Linked DNA regions of Oryzias latipes. The protein of the gene in region 3 purifies or fractionates together with the protein of the main gene of each other region. This does not show direct contact. Links are inferred from orthologs where the notes say so. Each region holds a gene or a part of one and is shown on either strand. Other genes may lie near its edges. The genes, in order: rnf219, cnot8 and cnot1.

Evidence for each region.
Region 1: the proteins of cnot1 (region 3) and rnf219 purify together in Homo sapiens (affinity purification with mass spectrometry; 3 studies listed by BioGRID and IntAct, with this or other methods). This does not show direct contact. The link is inferred for Oryzias latipes from reciprocal best matches to the Homo sapiens genes CNOT1 and OBI1.
Region 2: the proteins of cnot1 (region 3) and cnot8 purify together in Homo sapiens (co-immunoprecipitation; 5 studies listed by BioGRID and IntAct, with this or other methods). This does not show direct contact. The link is inferred for Oryzias latipes from reciprocal best matches to the Homo sapiens genes CNOT1 and CNOT8.

Annotation. Positions count from the first base shown.
Region 1 is NC_019861.2:14,862,674-14,870,668, reverse strand, and holds the start of rnf219 (RING finger protein 219), read right to left. Parts: upstream 5,301-7,995; 5' UTR 5,195-5,300; coding exon 5,123-5,194; intron 4,933-5,122; coding exon 4,797-4,932; intron 4,221-4,796; coding exon 4,129-4,220; intron 3,071-4,128; coding exon 2,849-3,070; intron 2,642-2,848; coding exon 2,553-2,641; intron 862-2,552; coding exon 1-861. UniProt on the Homo sapiens protein: E3 ubiquitin ligase essential for DNA replication origin activation during S phase.
Region 2 is NC_019872.2:29,377,426-29,385,583, reverse strand, and holds the start of cnot8 (CCR4-NOT transcription complex subunit 8), read right to left. Parts: upstream 4,763-8,158; 5' UTR 4,664-4,762; exon of another isoform or gene 4,493-4,663; intron 3,762-4,492; 5' UTR 3,680-3,761; coding exon 3,563-3,679; intron 3,429-3,562; coding exon 3,235-3,428; intron 2,794-3,234; coding exon 2,632-2,793; intron 1,753-2,631; coding exon 1,608-1,752; intron 1,520-1,607; coding exon 1,409-1,519; intron 1-1,408. Other genes in the region: protein FAM114A2, read right to left, coding at 6,359-6,469, 6,541-6,594, 6,996-7,068, 7,142-7,266, 7,492-7,593, 7,908-7,993, 8,069-8,158. UniProt on the Homo sapiens protein: Has 3'-5' poly(A) exoribonuclease activity for synthetic poly(A) RNA substrate. Its function seems to be partially redundant with that of CNOT7.
Region 3 is NC_019864.2:25,874,533-25,881,493, forward strand, and holds the end of cnot1 (CCR4-NOT transcription complex subunit 1), read right to left. Parts: intron 6,650-6,961; coding exon 6,418-6,649; intron 6,323-6,417; coding exon 6,074-6,322; intron 6,004-6,073; coding exon 5,840-6,003; intron 5,744-5,839; coding exon 5,626-5,743; intron 5,508-5,625; coding exon 5,406-5,507; intron 4,733-5,405; coding exon 4,559-4,732; intron 3,627-4,558; coding exon 3,477-3,626; intron 3,399-3,476; coding exon 3,218-3,398; intron 3,141-3,217; coding exon 3,008-3,140; intron 2,930-3,007; coding exon 2,795-2,929; intron 2,186-2,794; coding exon 2,107-2,185; downstream 1-2,106.

The DNA.
Region 1 (7,995 bases), on a different chromosome or scaffold from region 3:
GGTGGGGAACCTAAAGAGAGCTGTGATCCACGGCTGCTGGAACTCTCTCCATCAAGCATCATGGAGTCTAACTCTGAGATCTTGTCCAGGTAAGCTGCATCCATGGAAGCCTCACATGCCATCTGAAAACTATCAACTTCACCACCTGCTGAAACTGCAGATGGGGATTCCTTGACTGGATTTTCTGTACTCGGGTCTGAAGACGATGGATTGTCAGCATGGGGTCTTTCCCAACAACCCCAAAAGACTGACTTTGGAGACCCTGTTATATTTGAAGATGAGCCTTTTGGAAACTTCTCGAGGCTGGCAAATTTGCTCTCTAAGGCAGAACTCATCTTCCTGGTACCAGACAATTCTTCAAAATCAAGTCTTTTTTGATAAGATATAGGTTTAAATGTGACTTTCTTCTCACGGATGCCAGGGCTTCTCAAGGTCAGAGACTGGAAGGCAGATGATGGAGTTGCAGGAGAGAAGTCAGAGGAGGTGCTTTCAGGGTTTTCCTTCTTCTGCTCTCCAGCCAGGCTCTTCTTGAACTCTTTGGGAGTTCCTGACATGAACAAAACACTGGGATTTTTGGAAAACGCTTGAGACTCTGCCTCTGGATTGCTGCAGATCAACCTTCTTTCTTCCTCACTTAAGCTTCTCATCATCATGTTCAACCTCTGTTGCTGTGTGAGAGCATCTGCCGCCGTCCCACACGCCTCGTGGGCTTCAGGATTCCTATTTTCACATTTCCTGAGTCGGGACTCTAGCTCATCGACGTACTGGTCACTGCGTTCCAGAGCCCGTTTTAAGTGGTCGACATCACGCTCATACAGCTGACACTTGGCTTCCAGCGCTGCAACTGTGTATCGACCAAACCTGCAAACACAACACTTTCCTTACAACTAAGACAGAAATATCATATGATAAATAGCATAATGTTACTATTAGTTTGTGTAAAGCTATGTTTAAGGCCTTCTCCAATCATCTTTTAATCTATTGTAAAAGAGTTATGGTTATGATGTTAAGCTAACATCAAAATCCTGCGTCATTTTCTAAGACATAGTTTCTGCAGAGCAGCAGTAGTTTATTTGAAACTTTCCTCTGAGTTGTGGGCAGGACCACCAGCGCAGACCAACCCCACCCCCTTCCGCTCCCTGTTGATGAAAGCTCAGAACAGGGAGCTTGTGGCCCGCCCAGCACTCTACGTCACAAATCAGCTCTTTTTCAAACAGCCTTTTTTTTCCATCTGCTCCCGATTTACAAACATTTGAATAAAGAAATACTCAAAAAATGCAATTTAACCTTCATTGTTCTTTTTCATGCCCATCATCAATGCCACAAGAACATGTTAGAAACATCAAAAACAAAATTCTCATTGGAGTGTTTAAACTTGCTAAACATTATGATTCAATATGCAGAAATTTTCCCAAAGTTGGCATTGATTGAATGTTCTGATGAGAAACTTTGATGATGTTTAATGCTAGTCTTCCTCTGAAGGCAACAATGCCAACTTTGGAATTTGCTGGACTTAAAGACCCACTCTAATGAAGATTGCGTTTTCTGTGTTTTTAACATATTCTTGTGGAATTATTCGGATGAAGGACATACTGCATATAGAGAAAGTTGAGCTCAAACTTGATCTGCATTTTTGTTGCACTCTTAATGTTATGTTGGGGGTGTGAGGGGCTGTAAGCTATGAACAGATGAATGATGGGAAGTCAGGGCCGGCCTACACCACGCCAACAGTTCCGCCCACAACTCAGAGGTGAAATTCTAATGAACTACGGCTGCTCTGCAGAAATTATGTTCTATTTTTTTTTAAATATTACCTAAGAACGGCATAATCATGACTAAAAGACCACTGGGAACGCTTTCACAATAGAGCAAAAAATGATTGGAGTGGGACTAAAAAGAAAGCAAATGTGACTGAGAATACAACCGATGGTTAACACAGACTGAGCCCAACAAATTATTGACAACATCTTTCCCCTTTAATTTGGGATTATGGGGCCTATACCATGCTTTCCTTAAGCCTTTTATAGTAAACAATATCCATGTACATGATAATGGTACCTTTGGCACACTAAAGAATGCATTTTTTATTAAATATTATTTTCCTGAGCTCTTTTCCAACCCAGAAGTAAGACGCCTCGATCTCTGAGGCACCAGCTTTCACTCCTTGTGGCTGCTGCCTATTTCATGACATCGACTTATAGACCTATAGTGTGTCTGCACCTCGCCAATGAAAACAACAGTTTGATCAGATCTTGTACGAATGAAGGATAAATACATATAAAAGTTAAGATCAGTCAATCCTACACTGTAAAATTCTTCATTATTAACAGAAAACACTACCTATTAGTACCATCCAAAATATTGTACTCAACACAAAATATCTTACTAGCAGCCAGAACATTTTAAAAGTTATTTTTTGTAAAAGAACCCCTAGGATTTTTTGTTTTTCTTGAAGGCAGGCGCGGTTTTCTTCTTCTGTTCATGCTGTTTGCTAACGATCAGGCGTTTCATTGTTTCCATCACTTGATCAATGTTGCAAAAAAAGTACTTACTTCTGAGGAGATCTGCTCGCCACTTCTGCTTTAAGTCTCATGTTCTCTTGGACAAGGTCTACATTTTGAGAACGCAGGATCTTATTTGCCTAAAGGAAACAGAGAAAGTCTCAAATAAAAATAAGATATCGTACGCTTCTGTTAAAACTTAAGAAATGCATGCAGTTACCCTTCCAACTATTAACTTTACTTGTATTTCTATATATAGAATTATAAGACCTGTAAATACACGACATATGCACAAGCTTTATCAACATCTGTCAGTAAATACAGAACATGTGTTTAGTTGTGTGTACCTCTTTCAGTTTGTCCATGTCCTGCTTTATTTGATCACAAACATCTGTGGCTGCTTGCAGCTTGTTCTTCCATTCCTCTACAACAAAGTGAGGGACCCTCTTTTCATCTGCTTCCACTGCATTTATGCTGGTAGGAAGCAATGCGGTCTTCAGCTGGGTTTCCAGATTTTGAGTTTTGACTTTCAGCTCCTCGTTTTCTCTCATAAGCCCTTCGATCTCTTCCTGACGTGGAAAGGTTTTGTGAAAAACAAGGGTCAGGAGAAAAACCAAATTAAAAAAACAAATAAACATGAAATTCAATCCAAGTTTAATCATAATCTTGTTATGTGAAAGATAGAAAAAGTGAATTACAGTGGTCCTTGCTTAATTGCAGTTCACCTTTTGTGGCTCACTGTTTTGCAGACTTGTTTTTGTGCAGCTTTAGATGGTTTTCTTTTTTTTTTTTAAACACTGTGTTCTGCATGGTAATAGGCTGAAGATCTTGTCAATCAATCTCCTTTATGCCATGTCTCCTGTACAAGAAGCAGGCAGCTCTGCAAAGCCAGTTCTCCAAAAGATTTTTGTTTTTGTTCCATAATACTGAACTTATTTTTCTATGAAGCTAGGAACTTTGAGAAAAAAAGTGTTAAAATATTAATGTCCGTCTTTGTGGATTTCACTTTTTGCAGATAAACAAGAGAACACTATTTAAACTTCTGCTTTTCAGTCACTATTATTGGTAAATAAGCTGGTTAAAAGATGATATTATTTAACAAACAAGTATAGATTGGTTATGTTATTTTTTAATATAAAAAATTTAACTTAACATAACATAGTTTTACAAATTTAACATAAAATAACACAACATAACAAATAATTCTTCAAAATGTCTTAAAATGTATGTTAATTCCGTGGGAGACCATTTTCCTTTTAGTCTCACAGTAGGAATATGTCAACACGTTCTACACTAAATAAAGCGGATATAACCAAAAATAACCAACAAATTGAAAGGACTTGGAGTAGTGAACCATTGTAATATTTGTAGTGCCAATATAGTGAAACAGTTTGATTAGAGTCCAAATAAATTCTAATAAAAGCTTTGATTGATACTTAGCAGTAATTGTTCAAATTTGACTGAACAGTGCTGACTGGATTTTAATAGTAGTCGTGTAAACTCCCCTCAAACCCTTTAACCTGTTAATTTTGTAGCTAACCCTCTACACACATACTCACGGGTTCCCAGTTAAGCAGAATTAACTAGTAATTTAAAATATCAGAAAGCATCCTGAATGCAGCCGTACCTCATACTCCCGTAAAAGCAGCTCTCCTCTGGTTTTACGGAGACATTTTCTCATGGATGTGTTGTCACTGTGATCGCCTTCATTCGTCCCCCCTGTAGCAGAATGACAAAAAGATTATATTTCCAAAAATATACACATGATACTAGTAGTTTTCCAAGTAGATACTGAATATACGTTCTGGTGCCAAAATATCAAAAACTGAATCTAGCTACCATATTTAAGAAATGATATATAAGCAGATCAAAAGTTGATAAATTAACATTAAAGTAATTCAAACAAATGTTCTATCTAACAGACTGTTGTAACCTTATTTCTGGAACAAACCTTTAACTCAAAGCAAAGAAAACAACATGAGTGACATTATCATATCCTCATTTATTAGTTACTTGCCTACATTTAAAAAGAAACATGAAAATATATAGTTTATAAGGGGAATGCATGGAGAAACAGTTCAGCACCTCTAATGTGTCAACAAAAACATTGTGGGACTTGCAAATGATAGAACTGTATTGAGCTAATCCTTTATTTTCTGTACAGGAGTGTTAAGTTTATGTAGATTTAATTAAGTATTTTCTTAACAATGCAGACAGTGCATCCTCTACTGATCTTTTTTTTTTTTGGGGGGGGGGGGGGGGGGGGGCCCCCCCCTCGTTTGTAGCGGTACTCACCGATGATCTCTCTGCACGGACTCTCTGCTGTGATGGGCACTCTGCAGGTGGGACACTGGCCGGCTTTCTTTAACCACACTTCCATGCAGGACGAACAGAACACGTGGTAGTTGGCACAAATGACCGGCTGCCTGACCTGCACGGAGACGAGTATCAGACAATTATTTTTTGACAAAAAAATAAAAATACAAATAGACGCTTTCCTTTGGTGATCCGAGTTGCAGCTGGGTGACTAGCGCGCCGCTAGTGCAGTCACCGCCAGACAACGCAGGAGAAGTTTTACTTCCTCTATTCCCGGCTAATGTCGAAATGTAGATGCTGCTTACCTTTCCGAGGCAAATTTGACAGGAAATGGGCAAAGTTAGAGACAGAGTCGATGCCTGATAATTGAGCGCCATCGCTTGTTGTCAAGACACGACACAGTTCCCGCGGGGAGGTACAAGTTTCCCACCAGGAACTAACCGTCGGTCTGCGCGCGCGTCATGAGCTACGGAACTCTTTGAGGGACAAAAAGGGTTGATTTTAGTACGGACAGGGTCATGTTTATTTTCTATTTCTTTTAAATATATTTGGTAGTTTTCTTTTTCATGAGAACTTTTACCTAGAAGTGAACAAAATAGGAATCTTTTTTATGGACTTTTTGACCCTGCCTCTTTGAAAGCAATTTTACTCTGCCTAGTTCTCCAGTGGTTATACTTATAGCAAAAAAAACTTCCACAGTAGTGGCCTTTTTGGTTATTTTTTTAATGAGTTGAAGATGTATTTACATTCAGTTAGTTTAGCTGCTAATGTGGTGAAAAGCTTGGAAATGTGTGAATGCACTTCACCAATAATGTTCCCCATTGGATGATTGAGAATGGAGAATGGGTGGGATGAGCTCATTTACCAGAACTATTCCGCCCACTTCAACAAATGGATCTTTTGTTGTGTTCACTAATGGGTTTACTCATATGTCAATCAAAAACATGTACACATGTCAGTCATCACAGAATCAAAATAGCTGTGGTTGTGCCCCCCCCCCACACACACACAAACACACACAGCCTAAATGGAAAGTCAATCACTAACAATTTCATAGACTTTTAAAACAAGATTATCTACATGTTTTCTCGGAGTATGACTTTTTAACATATAGGAGATAATGGTAAATGCTTCCTTCTCCCAACTAGTCCATGGCTTCTTTTTAGGAGCTCCAAGGTTTGGTACCTCCTGGTGGCTTAAAATTAAAACAAAAAACAGAGAAATAAAAAAAAACATATTTTGGAATAAAAAATAAGTAACTTTTTCGAGTTTGCCTGGAGACGCTGCATGTTAGGTCCGAAATACTAAGTCATCATAGGAAAAAAAAAACTGTTCAGAAGTGTCCTAATTTCAACTTTGCTGCTGGTTTTATAAATTTTAAAACATTTGGAATCTGTTGTGTGGATTTTAAACCTGTTTTTGGTAATTTCTAGAAGGTTTCCTACATGTATGCTTATTTTAGGATTGTTAGTTGGCTTGTAATTTTAGATCTTTATGGAAAGCAGAGGCACTTTTGAGGTTTTAAGTAAAATTATTATTATTCATTATTAATTGTATAATTATTATTTACTAATTTTTTAATAATTTACCAACCCTTATTTATTAAATTGCTGATTGTTTGGTTCTGGGAAACTTATTATTTTCTTAGTTTTGTGGTGCCAACTTTCTAAAAAGCTGTGATAAATGAAAATGTATAAATTGTCCCCTTGACAACAAAATTGGCTGTAAGAACAATTTTACATAGCTAAAGATATGGATCTTTAGCTCAAATAACATACAAGTCTTTAAAGTCGCTGTTGATGCTTTAATCCCAGCTGTCAATTGAATCGGTTAGTTCAAAAGGGGCCCAAGTCCAAGAGGTTTGTTTTTCCAGGAAATCTTTTTAATTGCATAGCTTATAGGGAGCCTACACAAAATGATTAATACTTTATCCAGATTTAGCACCAGTTCACATCTTACAAATACTATAAAATGAAGCACCTCACTTTTATCATTTTAGAGGACTGGCAAACTAAAGTCTCTGGACTTGGGCCCTTCTTGAATTAAACAGGGGCGCTGCCATGTTGGATAACTAGTGCTGCCATCAATGGGATGAAGCTAAACCCATGCAAGAGAGGCCCAAGTCCAGGAATTTGGCCTTTCTTGCACTAAATGTAATTTAAATGTCAAGCATAGTCAATACATTACAACGGACTTGAGAATTTTTTGCACATAAGCAGACAGCTTTTCCCTTGAAGACCATAGAACATATAATATCTCTATTTAGAAAAATTGTGGACTTGGGCCCCTTTTGAACTAACCGATTCAATTGACAAACAGGGGTATGTTTTTTATTAGTTTTTTTTATTGGCTAGCTTTTCTTACAAATCTGATTACATTTCCATTTAATGCTCGTAATCACAATGTAGGGCAAAGCAAACTTAATGTCATTGGTGAGCTGAAATGAAACAAAGTCTTGGGTGACAGTGAGCATGATTATGGAAAAGGTTCAACTTTTCATCGTGTAAAAATGGAGGGCATTCACTTAAAAGATGTGTTATCTTCCTTTCTCCAGGCAACATAACTGAAGTGTTTCTGATCAGGACACCTAACACTTAAGTACAACTGCTCCCTTGATGCTTTGCAGTCACAGTTTATTCTCTTGTGCATATATTACCAATGAATGGGTCACATACAGAGGACAAACCTGCAGTGTATCATGCATGTGCAGTATAGAGTGTTTATCCCCATCCTTTATCCTTAACTAAATTCTGTCTATATAAAACTGTCATCTAGAGCAATGCCTAAATTAGGATGTGATTTGCATGCCACACACTACACAAAAATAAAAACTCTACAGGATTTTCTAAAGGCTCAATGTGTTAAAAATGAACACATGTAAGTTGTCTAGAAGTTAACTACAGATATGGTTCCCAAAAGAAAGCATAACTTAAGATTGAATATGTCAGATTTTGTGGTATGTCTGTGGTGGGACATTGGGCTCCACACACATAGGTCTGCGAGACGTAGAGGTTTCCACCAGAATGATGAATAACAGCAAAATCTATTGACAAAGTGAAAAATGGCATTTGCTCTCTTTGATGGTACTTTATTTCACATTCAATCATTTATAGCCAACCCATAAAGTAGATTGCTGTCTATTATTTTTCATGTCTTTGTCTCTGGTAAATGATGTAAT
Region 2 (8,158 bases), on a different chromosome or scaffold from region 3:
TCACACTGAACCAAACATCCACAAACCTGCAGACAATTAAGAAATGACATTTTTGATGTGTTCATAATAATCCAGCTGATGCTAAAGTTTCACATTTTCAGATGAAATAAAATGAAATAAATGAAACAAAGCAGCCTTTTTATTGAACTGCGGCGACTTTATTAGGCACACCTGTCCAACCAGCCAATCACATGGCAGCAGCTCTGTGCATTAATTAGACATGGTCCAGACGATCAAACCGAGCATCAGAACGAGGAAGAAAGGTGATTGAAGGGACTCTGAACGTGCTTGTTGGTTCCAGACGGGCTGGTCTGAGGATTTCAGAAACTGCTGATCTACTGGGATTTTCACCCACAACCATCTCTAGGGTTTACAAAGAACGGTCCTTAAAGAGAAAACATCCAGAGAGCAGCAGTTCTGTGGATGGAAATGCCTCGTTGGTGCCAGAGGTCAGATTGGTTCCAGCTGATAGAAGACAACAGGAACTCAAAGAACCACTGGTTCCAACAGAGGTCTGCAGAAGAGCATCAATGAAAGAACAACCCGTCCAACCTGGAGGCAGATGGACTACAGCAGCAGAAGACCACACCGGGTACCACTGCTGTCAGCTAAGAACAGGAAACTGAGGCTACAATTCACACAGACTCACCAAAACTGGACCATAGAAGATGGAAAAACGTTGTCTGGTCTGATGAGTCTCCATTTCTGCTGCCACATTCAGATGGTAGAGTCAGAATCTGGCCTCAACAAAATGAAAGCATGGATCCATCCTGCCCTGTATCAACGGTTCAGGCTGGTGGTGGTGGTGTCATGGTGTGGGGATGTTTTCTTTGTACCAACTGAGCATGGTTCCAGCACCACAGTCTACCAGAGTATTGATGCTGACCATGTCCATCCCTTCATGACCACAGTGGACCATCTTCTGATGCTACTTCCAGCAGGATAAGGCTCCATGTCATGAAGCTGGAATCATCTCAGACTGGTTTCTAGAACATGACAATGAGTTCTCTGGACTCAAACTGCCTCCACAGTCACCAGAACCCAATAGAGAACCTTTGGGATGCGGTGGAACTGGAGATCGGCATCATGGATGTACAGCTGACAAATCTGCAGCAACTGATGCTGTCATGTCAACATGGACCAAAGTCTCTGAGGAATGTTTCCAGAACCTTGCTGATTCTAAACCACAGAGGATTAAGGCGGTTCTGAAGGCTAAAGAGGGTACAAGCAAAGTGGAGCTGCTAAAGTGGGTGAGTGTATGTCCACACATAAAACACTAAAGATCTACAATTCTACGCATTTATAAATGCATTTCTCGAAAGACATTTTATAAACCATCTAAGCAGATTCACAAAAACTTCCAGCTGCAACAGAACAGCTGTCAGCCGGAAAACGATGAAGACTGTACCTCCTTCATCCTGAAGAAAGCCATGCCCGTGAGCAGCGAATCCGACCCCGCCTGATGCTGCCGGCCAATCCTCTTCAGCTCCAGCTGATCGGCCACTTCCTGCAACCCCCCCTGCAGGAACAAGCGGAGACGGAGTGAGACGGCTCCACGTTCCTCGGGGATGTAGAAAGCAATAAACCCTGTGACCCGCAGGCCTTACCTTCAGACTTTTGCAGCTCTTCATCAAATACTTCACATCGTAAATTGCAGGAAAAAACAAGTTTAAGATCTGAAAGAACTCGTGTTCCTCCTCTGGAAGCCGCGCATCCGTCAGGAGTTTCACCAGATAGCCAAAGTCATAACCACTGAGACAAAACAAAAATTATTAATGATTAAAAACTCAGAGAATCAACTCCTCTAGACATTGAACAGTTTCAGAGGTTCTGCAAAAGTTTACTATCAATGTGAATAGAAGCAGCATCCCAGAAACCTTTTCTAGATCGTGTCTGTCTCAGAGGAAGACAGGGAAAATGGTGACGGTCGCTCTAAAAAGCTCTGCAAAGACTTAAAGTTCCATAATCTTGAACGTCATCTACATTATATCGTCTAAGAAACATCAGCAGAACCAAAGAGGACTAAGATACCAGTTTATTGTGGAGTTTGTCTCCAGCAGGTCAGACTGCTGTAACGTCTGGACCCAGAAAAGAAGCAGCAGTTCATCCAGAACGCTGCTGCTCCGCTTCTGATTTTGACCATCAGTCCCGAGGTCACACAACAGCCTTTCAAATAGTTCTGCTTCTGTTCAAGTCTCTTCATGCTTTAGCATCAGAGATCATATTTGGAATGAACCAGAGGCAGAACTTTAACTGGAGCTCAGAATTCAGCTCCATGCAGCTAATCTCTGAAATTTCTCCCTGAAGATCCCAGAGAAGTTTTTCCTCTGACAAGGATTAAGTTCAGAGTAAAAGAGATGTTTTTGACCTGCTTACATTGTTTTATCTGGATCTCTATTCTGGTGTTAACCCATAAGTACCCAGACCCATTTGTTGTTTAAAATAAAGTGCATATTTTAACCACAAACCAAATGGACCAAAGAATCCATTTCTGATATTTTCTGTTACACTGACGTCACCGTGGGTTCTACTGGGTTAAAGTGATTTTAATTATATTTTATGATTTCTGAAAGATCAAACAGAAGACCCCCTCCCACCCCCGTTCATGGAACAAGCCAGCAGACAACCGACCTGTGGAAGGACAGCCACTTGACGTTCTCACACAGAACCAGACCCGACGTCATGAGGAGCTCGGCGAAGTACAGCGTGTCGATTCCTTCTTCTTCGTGTTTTTTGAACTGCAGACCCGAGTTCTGGAGCAGGTCTATGGAGTCCTGGGAGTACATATCCTCACTGCACACAACGTTAGAGAACATCAAGGATCATTTCAGGACTTGATCATCTTATTTCACTAGAAAACCTGTGAACCTTTCACTTTTCAGAGATTTATGAAAAGGAGTAAACAAAAATGTAAATCAACCTTTTTTTAATTATTAAAATACATCTAATAAAAAAAAAAAAGTAAAAAGTTCATGCAGTTTAACACCACAGTAGAACAGCTGAGGCACAAACTTCTGTGTGAAATACTGTCTCCTAGTGGAGAAGTGGCTCATTGCATCTTTCACAGCCTGTTTAAGGCTTACGTACTGGAGTTTAATTTACAGGCGTCTCTGTTTATGTTTTTTATTATTTTTAAAGACTGTTGTCATCATAGCACATAAGTGGCTTAGGCTGCCAGCAGGTTGACAGGAAGCAGCGAACGTTTTCAGTCCCATGAGACGACGAAGCACCTACGTCAGGTTGAACTTGAAGTTGAATTGCCACGTGGTCGTGCCGGGGGGGTAATCCCCATCCTCGTTCATGAATGTGAGACCAAGCTGGATGATCTTCAGCAGATCCACGTTGCACCGCAGCAGCTGGTACTGGTAATCTACCGTACTGCGAAACTCGCCTATGGGTCGGACCACGACTCCGGGAAACTCCGTGTCCTAAGACACAGAAATGCAGGGTTAGGACACTCCAGGAAAGGAAGAGACTAGCACACATTTGCAATCACCACATTTACGTTCTTTGTTTTTCTTTTTAGAATTCAACTGTCAACAAAGAAAGGAGAGCCTGTAACCATGGCAACGTAGTTGTAGCTTTGGATAATTTGCCGTATCTTCCTCATCTCTTCCCCCACGTTGCTCGCCCAGACTTCACAGATCATCTGGCTGGAATCTTGAAGAGCAGCTGGCATGTTGGCAGGTTCCTAGGAGACCCGACGGTCCTGCAGGGCTTCAAGGGGGGGTGGGAAGGGGGACCGTGCAACAAAAAAAGAACTGCGAAAGGAGATTTAGAAAAAACGTACTTAAATCTCAGAGTAATGCCGTCAAATCATCACAAGTATACAACATAAAAATAGGGAATCTTTGGAAGCTGAGCATCTAATAAGAGTCTACTTAATTTATTCAAAAGTTACCCAGTCATGATGGCATCATTTACTGATCTAAGGTCAAATGCAGGGTCAAACCGTGTCTTTACTCTGTCCTGCTTTGACCCCTTAACAATTGTTTCCCTGTTTCACAGCATCAATTTGATTCAAAATGCTATTGATAGATTGAAGACTAACTGCTTTCTGTATGTAATAATCCACCAAGTAGTCTTGGGTGTCACCATATATTTGGTTTAAAAAAAAAATCAGTTCAACAGCAGCACTGAAAGTTACATGGTAAAATGACGTTTCTGTAGTCTGTAACTGGGATTTTTACAGTCTACCTGACGCGTTTCCACATAGATCTTTATATATAATGAAAGTACACGCTGTATGGAGGCTCTCAAAACGAGCAAAAACTAACAATAAAAATAGAAACAACAAAGAACAGCATTAAAAAAACGCTGTTGTTGCCATGACAGCCGACTCCGTACTGACTGTAGTGCGGAACTGGCTTTACTAATTTAACTTCAGCCGAAATACAAATATAAAACCGATATTTTCAATCATTCTAACACTATAAATAAAACAAATATACTTTAAAATTGTTCTTAAGCAGAAAAGAAAATGAAAACAAACCGTGATCGATGCTAACAGTTAGCATAGACGTTAATATTCGCGCGCGGTCAAGTTGCAGAGATGACGCAGCATTGAAGAATAAATAAATGACGTGGCCCTGTTAAAGTGTTTAATCTGACTGAAGCTGCCCGGGAAAAAAAATGTAGTCGTTTAATTAGGTAACCGGTTTACCTTAAAATTCCCTCGACACAACGCTGTCGTCTGCTTCCTTCATTTCCTACCGTCTCACTTCCGGTTTGGAGTGGACTATAAACGTGCACACTGCCCCCTGCCGGTCCGGAGCGGAAGCTCCACAACGCTACTTCATTTGTTGACATCCATCCATTAAATAAAAATGTATGACTTATCTTTACATTTTTTTGTTACTTAAATATATTCATATGTCAAATTCATATTAACTACTTCAACACAAATTTTTTCCTAAAGGCCCTCATCCATGCAGTAAATGGGTCATTCATTGTACCTTTTTAATAAATTATAGGAATAATCATAATAAAAATGTCAGAAATACAAAAAAAAACACTATTTAAAAAAAAGTTTGTAAACTGAAAACAATAAACCCAAATATGTAACTAAAATGCCAAGCAGAGAACACATTAGAATAAACATTATTTATCAAACTATATGATGGTTATATTGTGCAGGACTCAACCATGATAACCTTTGTAACGGTTCCAATACACATATAATTAAAATGTAAATATGAATTTAGTTTAACATATGAAAGACAGCATGAGACATGTAGGTATATCATGTTTTTGTTTGAATATCAACATTTCATTGAAACATTCATTACTCCTTGTGTTTTACAGGTATTTTCATGTGAAACTGTATTTTTAATGTATAAACGAATGTGTATTTCTTTCCCCAAACACGCATCTGCTGAGCGACGCGGAAACCTAGATGAGGTAAAAAATGGTGAAAGAGCAGCTGCTGCACATGCTGCTCCCTCTGTAGTTCCCTCTGTAGACCATGTGATACCAATGACCATGAAAGGAAAAGATTTGACAAAAAGTCACAGGAAACTAATGAAAAACAGCGTTCAAATCGGTCCATCCGAACCCTTTTATTTTACATTTTTACACAATTGAATGAAGTGAGTTTCAGTCCTCCACAGAAACATCATGTTTAGCACAGAAACAGCTGCAGCTTTAAGGGAAAAACACAGAAGAACAACTTCATAATAAAGTAAAACAACAGCAGGGGATTAAAAATAAGGAAAATTATTAAAAAGAGGGTGTGGCTTTGAAGGCCACCTTGCAGGTGAAGCTGCTTCTGCTTCGTCAACGCAAAGTGACTGCAGAAGCTTCTTTATTGATTAGTAGTAAAATGACTTCTGTCTGCTACCGCCTGGGGGCAGAACCCATCCTCCCACGGGACCCCACCCCTCCATGTAGCACTAAGCCTTGGTGGAGGTTACAAGTGCAGCGAGGAACCCTCCTTTACTCGTGCTCAGGTGAGGCAACTCTGAGTCAGAATCCCTAGATGACCCTTAAGGGCGACAGCGTCTCTGCTGATGGGGAGAGTCAAAGAACCTTCGGAGAAAAACAACAAAGATACCGGGACAAAAGTGCAAACATCACACATTTTTGGGTCGTTTCTAATTGTTTCAGATTTTTGTTTTTAATTTTTTTTTTCTTATTTAAAGCGTCCCACCTTACCCTACAAGTTTTCATTCGATTTTTTTCATTAAAAGAATTTTTTGAGCAGAAGTGTGATAATAAAGTGTTTCCCTGTTTGTTTCTGCAGAAGCAGTGGAGTCCCTGTAGGTCAGGACGCCTCATGTTTGCTTCTGTGCTTCACAAACCCCCAGAACGGTGCGACTAAAAGCTTTTCTCCTTCCGGCCGAAGTTCTTCAAAAGGCTTTCAGCGGCGTCGGTTCTCTGGAGACGCGGCGCTCCTCTGGATGTGGGAGATCTCCAGGATCGGCATGAGAAGCTGGAAAGCGTCCTGGATGTAGGACGCGCTGTTGGACGCCTGTGTGGGAGGAGCATTTCTAGGAGCGCTGTGGGAGGGGCAACATGAACATTCAGCGATGGCACACCCACCTCAAGAAAGACTCCTGTAATCAGGGGGTTCAGCACGTCTCCTTTGTCCTGAGACTGAAAAACAGGGCAAAGCGTTAGCCTGCAGAGAGAGAACGTCTGTGGAACCGGTACCGGGATCAAGCGGACCTGAAAGCATCCTGCAGTTCGGTTCTGTGCTTTAACCCCTTCCTGCCTATTCTAGTGTTTCATTTTATTTACCAACAACAATAAACGCATCTTCTATAAAACTCGTTTTTGACTCAAATCTATATTAAGAAATAAAAGGTGGAGGAAAAGTGAAACTTTGGACATTTGAATGGAAAAACCCTGGTTTCTATGGCAACTGCAGCCGTGGCCTCACTGCAGGACCGGGCGCTACTGGGCTTTCTGCAGGAGGAACTCTTGAATGTCGTCAGTCTCAGTTCCAGCCGTCTAACAGGAGCTTCTGGAAGAAGACACTGACGCTGCCCTCTTACCCCCGCTGCCGTCAAGCAGGACGTGAACTTCTTGGAGAGCAGAGAGACTTCTTTACACAGGACAACAGTCAACCTGAAGACACGCAACACAGGAGCCAATGAGAGGCTGGACGGGCAGGAGAGCTGCTCAGAGGAAAGCGCCTCACTGTGACAGGACGCTGGCGTCTGCGCTGCCATTGGAGAAGAGGATCATCTCTGCCAGTTTGTGAAAAAGCTCGATGGATCGAGCCGTCAGCTCTGCCAGGCTCCTGATGGCAGCGGCGTGAACGTCCTGACGGGGAAAGGAAAAAAAATCCAGGAGGTTTCTGTGAAGGTGTGAATTCTACTTCCTGAATAACAATAAAGCAGAAAGTCTGAGGACTGAAAGGCTAAATGGAGATGCAAATGTCACCCTTGGGTTTTAAATATATCATGAAGACGATAAAAAGGGAACTTCTGGAGTTTTTAAAAGATCAGAGGAGTTCAGGTGATGTGAAGGAATGTGTGTAAGACATACCTCCACAGAGTGGGCTTTCTTCATCCCACTTCCGTCCTCCTCCTCTTCCTCCTCTGCTGGTGTGCTCATGTCCCTGATGCTGCTGCAGGCCTCCTTACAGGCCTATTGGAGGCCAGAAAAACAACCGCTATTCCTGTTACCATGAGACCAATGCTCTGTTCTCACTGTTCCTCTTGTGAGGCCTTTGGTCAAACGGAGGACAGGAAAGAAGGAGGTTTTCCAAACACCAGCAGGATCATGCAAAAGCAGCAACCGTTCTGTGAAAAAGCTTGGAGTCTCCTGCTGCATCGTTTCCTCTCATCTCCTGGTATCAAACTCAAAACCTGCAGAATTTGGGCTTCATTTTTCCTGTTGGGCCACATTTACTCGACAGAACCCTGACGTGTTTTCCAAACGTGAAGCTCAGAGACTCGTACCGTGCTGAGTTTGCCGGCTGCAGCGGAGATCTCCAGGCCCCCCAGAGCCTCTGTCAGCTCCTTCTCAAACTCCCCCCCGTCCTCATCTGGAACCAGAACCTCCCGTCAGTTCAGCTGCAAGGAGCTGAAAGTTCTGCTTTTACTTCCACGTCCGCTTTTACCCTTCCTCTCATCGACCTCCTCCTCGTCAAACTCCACCATGGAGAAGGAGTCCTTGATGGCCTCCAGCTCCTCCCTGAGCTGCAGCAGCT
Region 3 (6,961 bases):
TATTTATCAGGAGACATCAGTCAGATTCATATAATCTCCAAACCATATTGTTCCGCTGCACAACATGTCAGCCAATTAAAATGATGCATTTAAACGCTTCAAACAATATCTTGGTTTATTTCTGGAAATCTATAAAGCATAAAACTCCTCAGAATAAGCATTCTTAGGTTTAGGATCTGCAAAGTGAGACACATGAATGAATGCATCTCGTCCAATGTAAGAGACTCGCTGTGAAATATCCAGTGTTTGTCGCCACCTAGCGGTTAGAACGTGACATTTCTTTTTTTCTTGCACCTTTTCTGTGACTCAGCCTGATGGAGAGGATCTGAGTTCCTCGGTCCTGATCTGCTAGATTTGCTTTCTTTGTGCCTCTGCTGCAGCTCACTGAAGGGAGCTCATCTTTAATCGTCTCTGTAATATCTGGATTTTTTTTTATTACTCTTACTTGAAAAATGTAATGTAACTTTCCTTTTCTTCCACTTCAGTGAATCGATGTGACCCCCCACATCTGTCATGCGTTTTCTTGATTCCAGACTGCAGCTCGAGTTTAGAATTCTTCACATTTTTTATTTGGTTTTGAATGATTAAATGCCTCATCCTCAAACATACTGGTGACATTTCATGAGCTAAAATTAGAAAAATGAAACTAATAAAGAAGCAAAGTGTCACTGAAAATGTAGGCTTTTCAGAATGTTGGACATGTTTACGTATAGCGATATTTAAGTCAGGTGAGACAAACATAACAGGGGTAGGATTCTTTATATATTCTTTTTTTTTTGACAAACTATGTTTAGTTTGTACGAGTACATTATGTCTATGACTGACTATAACATTGTTTACATGTGAATGTGGACATATTTGTGCCTTTCTTGTGACTTAACATCTTAATTTAATACATCTATGCATGTTTTTTTTGTTGCTTGAAATGAACCAAATGTAAGATGGAAAAAAAGGCACATAGAGGGTCAGAGTTCTTAAATCTTAAATGAAAATGCAGAGTTCGTCTGATGACACTGCACAAAAAAAAAGAAGCTTCTGAGTGGGGCTGAACGATCCGAGGAAAAACTCGCAATTTGCGATATTAGGGATCAATATTGCGAATTAAAATATTGTCCAGTTATGTGCGGCTGTAGTTTATTGTACGTCTTCAGAAAAGTTTCACAGAAAATAACTGTTGAGTTTAAGGAAAATAAGGTAACTAACTGAAGTTGCTGATTTATAAAAGAGCAAGTGTGATGGGCTCAGAAAACACACGTGTGATGTGCAGTTCAAATGTTTTATTTCCTGTATGTATGCATACTGCAATTAAGTAGCAAGAACAAAAGGCAAACTAGAAAGAACTACAAAATACAACACATGGACCAATACATTTACAAAACATTCAAAATGTTACAAAATGGCCTGTATTGGTCCTTCTATTATTGTTCTTCCATTTGGATCTTTATACAAATTGTCAAGTTAGGATGTTTTCATCACTTTGCACAATTTTACAACTGCCAGGGAGAGACCTCCAGAGGCCACATCGACTGGAAAAACCATGAGAAGCCCCCCCCACCCACCACAAACAGGAGATCTTAATATCAGTCTTACTCTAGAAAATATCAGGAACCAAAGAAAAAATTATATCAGACAGTTGTTTTTTTTCTTTTCTTTTTTTGGTAACTACCGTTCACCTCTCAAAAAAACAAAACAAGAAAAAAAAAAAGACTTGTGTTGGAGGGAAGGAACTGAGGACTTTGGTAGTAAATGTTCTGTACAGACCAGGACACATTTGACATGTGCAGCCAAATCCATCCATCCACTTCCCTGCTCTCCCTTTTCTTCTTCAATATTTACATCAATGGTCAAAATAAGCTCACATCTGTCCTCTCAACTCAAGCTTAACGGGAAAAGCTTAAAAAAAAGAAGAAAAAAAAATCTCTTTAAATCCGTGAGCAGCAGTCCTTCCATTCACATTTCACGACTGCAGGAGCCGGTTTTGTCCAGTGCCAACGGTGAAGTGGGGGGGGTCCGTGTGCTGGGGGGGCGGGGCGGGTCAAGGCCACGAATTTCTCTCCCGGGTGCTTTGAGCTGGTGGCTGCGCAGGCTAGCTGGTGGCTGCGCAGGCTAGCTGGCACTGGTGCCCTCCATTACCTGCTGGGCCTGTTTCTGCCCCATGCAGCACTGGGCGACGGACTGGAACAGCCTGGGGGCAGACGGACAGGTTAACGCAGACGGACAGGTATTCGCAGACGGACAGGTGAACGCAGACGGACAGGTATTCGCAGACGGACAGGTGAACGCAGACGGACAGGTAAACGTAGACGGACAGGTGAACGCAGACGGACAGGTAAACGCAGACGGACAAGTGAACGCAGACGGACAGGTGAACGCAGACGGACAGGTGAACGCAGACGGACAGGTAAACGCAGACGGACAGGTAAACGCAGACGGACAGGTAAACGCAGACGGACAGGTAAACGCAGACGGACAGGTGAACGCAGACGAACAGGTGAACGCAGACGGACAGGTGAACGCAGACGGACAGGTTAGCGCAGACGGACAGGTAATCGCAGACGGACAGGTGAACGCAGACGGACAGGTGAACGCAGACGGACAGGTTAGCGCAGACGGACAGGTAAACGCAGACGGACAGGTGAACGCAGACAGACAGGTGAACGCAGACAGACAGGTGAACGCAGACGGACAGGTTAGCGCAGACGGACAGGTAAACGCAGACGGACAGGTGAACGCAGACGGACAGGTGAACGCAAGCGCCCACAAACCGGACCTGAACCTGGGGTGGTGAACTTACTTCTCGATCTCGGGGGCACAGTGCACAAAGTCGTGACTCCAGAACTTAAAGGCAGGGTTCTTGATGAGCTCGATGAAGGTGATAAGGAGCCCCCACGGATGAGGCCTGTTCACGATCAGCCTCTCCAACAGAACCCTGAGAACCAGAGAGCCTACGATTAACAGGACATCCGGTGTTCACACATCAGGACGGGACAGGACGGGACCTCCCCACCTGGTGATCTGCTCCTGGATGGCCTCAGTATTGGCCTCAGCGAACAGGTACAGCATGGTGCAGCTGAAATAATGGGTGTGGCTGTTGGGGTAGCGCAGCTGATTGGCGATGGCGTTCAAAAACAAGTATCGCCCTGAAAAATCACAAAAGCAGAGATGTGAGGAGAGAGGCAACGAGAATGCTCCAAAAGTCAGCCAGACCCAAACAAACCCTCAGTGTCCAGGTCCACAGCCAGGTTCTGGAAGATGTCCATGTGTGCAGAGTGGGTGATGGTGCTCATTGAGGGGGTGCTGCCCTTGTTGTGAATATGAGCGATGGCCTGTGTGCCCACGTACAACACCAAGGCGTTGATCAGCTGAATGTTGTAGCGGTTTCCTGGTTCGTTTGACACCTGCCAGGCAGAGTTCACAGAAACCTCAGCCGCTGTGAAAACAGTTTTTGTAGCAGAAGGTTCTGGTTCTGGTTCTACCTGCAGGTTGCTGCGCAGCTCAGAGAGGAAGGTAACCGGAGAGCGCGTCTTCAGGTACGAGTCCAGATCCTTCTTAAACTGAGAGGGCATCACGCCCGTGAAGTTGGTGAGGATTCGGGGAGCAATGTTGATCTCACTCAGCATGTCCACCTGTGGGGGGATGGGCGTCATGTCAGACAGGTTGAAGTGCCAATCCCATCGTCTTTTGATCTATTTTCAAAGCATTCCCAGTGTTTTTTTTAATTATACTTATGCAGTATTTAGCCCACATCAAAAAAACTGTTGTTTTCTAGGACTTAGTTTCTGTAGAGCAGCAGTAGTTAATTAGAAATTCACTTCCTCGCTGTTGTGAAGCAGAGTGGGGCAGACAGCTTGTGCCCCGCACATGGGACTTTTTTTGTCTGATTGGGATTCACAATAATTTAAATAAAGAAACACTTCAGTTACGGATCCATGTGACGCTCGTCTAGATGGTACTTTCTGCACATTTGCAATGCACATTTTAGCCCATGGTGTTCACACTGGACAAGCAGGGAGGGGCTTCTTACTCATGTTTCCGTATCTCCGACACCTACAGTTGGAACAGGCTTGGTGTGAAATGTGGAATCGGTTTTCCGACTCTGTGTCATAAAATTCCGGTCGGGCACAAACCCCAATTATCTATTTCTCTTCCATGATCAATTTTCATACCGTTGGCACTTCTGTGAATTAAAAAGGACCCCATCCTTACGTTACTACCAAATCTGAGTCCCTGATTGGTCCAAGTTCAACTGGTTTAACTTGCAATGTGCGTTCAATGGTCACGTATTTTATACGTACAACCGTGGTAGAAACTTGGTTAGCTAAGCGAGAGTTTTGAACACGGAAGACCAAACCGCTGGTTTACCCAGACTTTTCATTCAAAATGAACACGTGTTGCCGGGGGCGGTGTGAACATAACTTCATAAATGCAATTATAATCTTCATTTTCTTTGTACACGTCGTCAATCAGGAGAAAAGTGCCACAAGGACATGTTGACGGAATGGGTCTGTAAGATCGGAGTGATGGTTCTGAATGACAGGCACAGTCGGGGCTCTCTTACCTTCAGGTTGGGGGTGAACGGGTCAGGGAGCCTCATGTTGCGTGGGAAGGCACTGAGGATGAGGTTGCGGAGCTGGATGCAGTTGGGTGGGATGACATCACAGAAGCCGTAATGGTAATCACACAGGAATTCTGGGAAGTCGTGCAGCAGGACAAGGAGGACTCGCAGCGTGCCCTGAACCACAGGACAGAAGACGCGACATCAGAGATCAGACAGATGCCTGAGAGAGTGCCAGCAAACCTTTAACCCAATACCTGTGACCCCCAGCAGCAAAGCTAACTTTATCTTGTTGCATCTTTAAAGGTGTACCCCAGGGCTCACTGTTGGAGTCCAACCCTTTTTTATTTTTTTAGGACAGTTCATCTGCTACCATGGGTCTCATGTCGTCCCTCTAGTCAGATGATACCAGTACGCCTATAAACATCTCTGGATGATTGAATGAATTCTGTCTTCAGCTAAACCTTTGCTAGACTGAGCTCATTATTTTCACAGCCCGACAACAAAATCTACTTCAGCTTCATCAGGGTCGATTCTTGTAGTGAAGTCAAGGTTCATGACTGACAAGCAGTTGTCTTATGATGCTGCTTCAGTCCAAGTCATGAACATTTGATTCATCCAACCAAAAAAAGTTCAGAGCTTTAGTCGAGGTTTTTGTGTTACTGAATCTAATGAAAAAAACTTTACCCTTTACACTGACAAATCCAACAATCTTGTTGCTGTTTTTCTCTGTGCATTTATATATATAAATCAAGTACAGCACAGGTTAAAGTCTCTGGTAGAGTTTCATGGTCTTCCTTATGGTAGAGTCGTTTTGAACTAAAGTGTTTTGTAAAGGACTTGTGCGTACCTTGTAGAGAATTTGCATAGGTTTGTTGAGTTCTACATTCCTCAGGAAAGGGGCAAGGTACTTGAAGAGATCGATGAGCAGCTGTGCATACATGGGCCAGCCCTGGAACACATTGGTGTGTTAAGGATTTAAAAAACAAAGAAAGAAAAAAATCATGACAGGTTTAAATTTAAAACAGATGAATAAAAAACAAAAATATAATAAAAAGTTCTGCTCCAACCTTCTGCTGCGGTGTGTGTGCAAGCATCCTGGCGATGAAGATGCGGTGGGAGATGAGCTCCAGCCAGGCGTACACAAAGCCCGGCGCTTTGGTGGGTCTCAGGATGTGGAAGGTATTGCTGCAGAACAAATCAGGTTTTTGGTTTCTGGATGAGAAACACCTTCCTGCTTACGTTTCACAGCGCGGAACGAGATCAGATTCCATGATGTCTCACCAAAAGGCAGTGAGGGTCTGGAAGTTGATGGTCTCCAGGACGTGTTCTGGGGCGTTGAGCTCCAGCAGCAGCATGATGAAAATGCGATGGTATGGAAGCTGCTGGAACTCTGTCTGACGGACGTCATGGTCCTGGATGAGCACACCGACTACGATCCCCAGCACCTGTAACAACCACCTGTGTTATGACGTGTCCGTCACAAACGTGTCTCCACTCCTCTGCTCGTGTGTGCACCTTGTTGAGGAGATTGATCTTGGTGACGGTGTTGGTGGCCTCTCCAGAGTGCTTGACCAGCAGGGCGATGAGCCGCACAAAGGCGTCCAGGTTGTGGTAACACTTGGCTCTGATGATGGCTGCACTGGCTGCCGGGTTGTGCTGCTGCTCAGCCTGAGCGCGGTAGCTGATCTCCACACACATTTCTGTGCACAGCCGGAAGAATCGTGTGATCAGGTCATCCGTCTTCAAGATTCCTTGCTGATGCATCTGGAGGGAAAAACCCAGAGGAACCATTAAAACCAGGACCACTGGAAATGAGGTCAACTGTTTGCTGAACTTGGAAACGGAGGATGAGCGGTAACCTGGCCCACGAAGGCGGAGAAAGCTTTGGTGCTGTCTCTGCCTGCAGCAGCCGAGTGATACAGGTTGACCCATTCCCTCAGGAGGTACTCGGCCTTCTCCCGCAGCCCCGGAGGATCGTCGTACTCTGACGCCTGTGAGATCCCAGAGTGCATCATAAAGTTGGGCCCGCCGTGGGCACGCTCCATCATGGCTTCATAGTTTGAGCGGACAACATCCATCAGTTGGGGAAGACTAGAGGCGAGAAGAGGAAAAGAATTGCATGCCATCAGTTTCTGCATGAAATCTAAGAGAAAAGAGCCTCATTGTAACAGAAGAGCCTATCTGAAAATATTTAATTCTTAATGTGTAAATTAACCTTCAGACAAGGAGTCATTTACAGTTTTCAAATGTGAAGCATAACGGACATTAGCAAAAGCTTGAATTAAGGAGGGTTTGTAGGGGGGCGTGAAAGCTGCTGCAACTCAGAAGACCATCAGTTGACATTCACACTTCCCACTGCCATAGCAGAGCAAAACTCATCGTCTAGGACTCTGATCTGTTTGA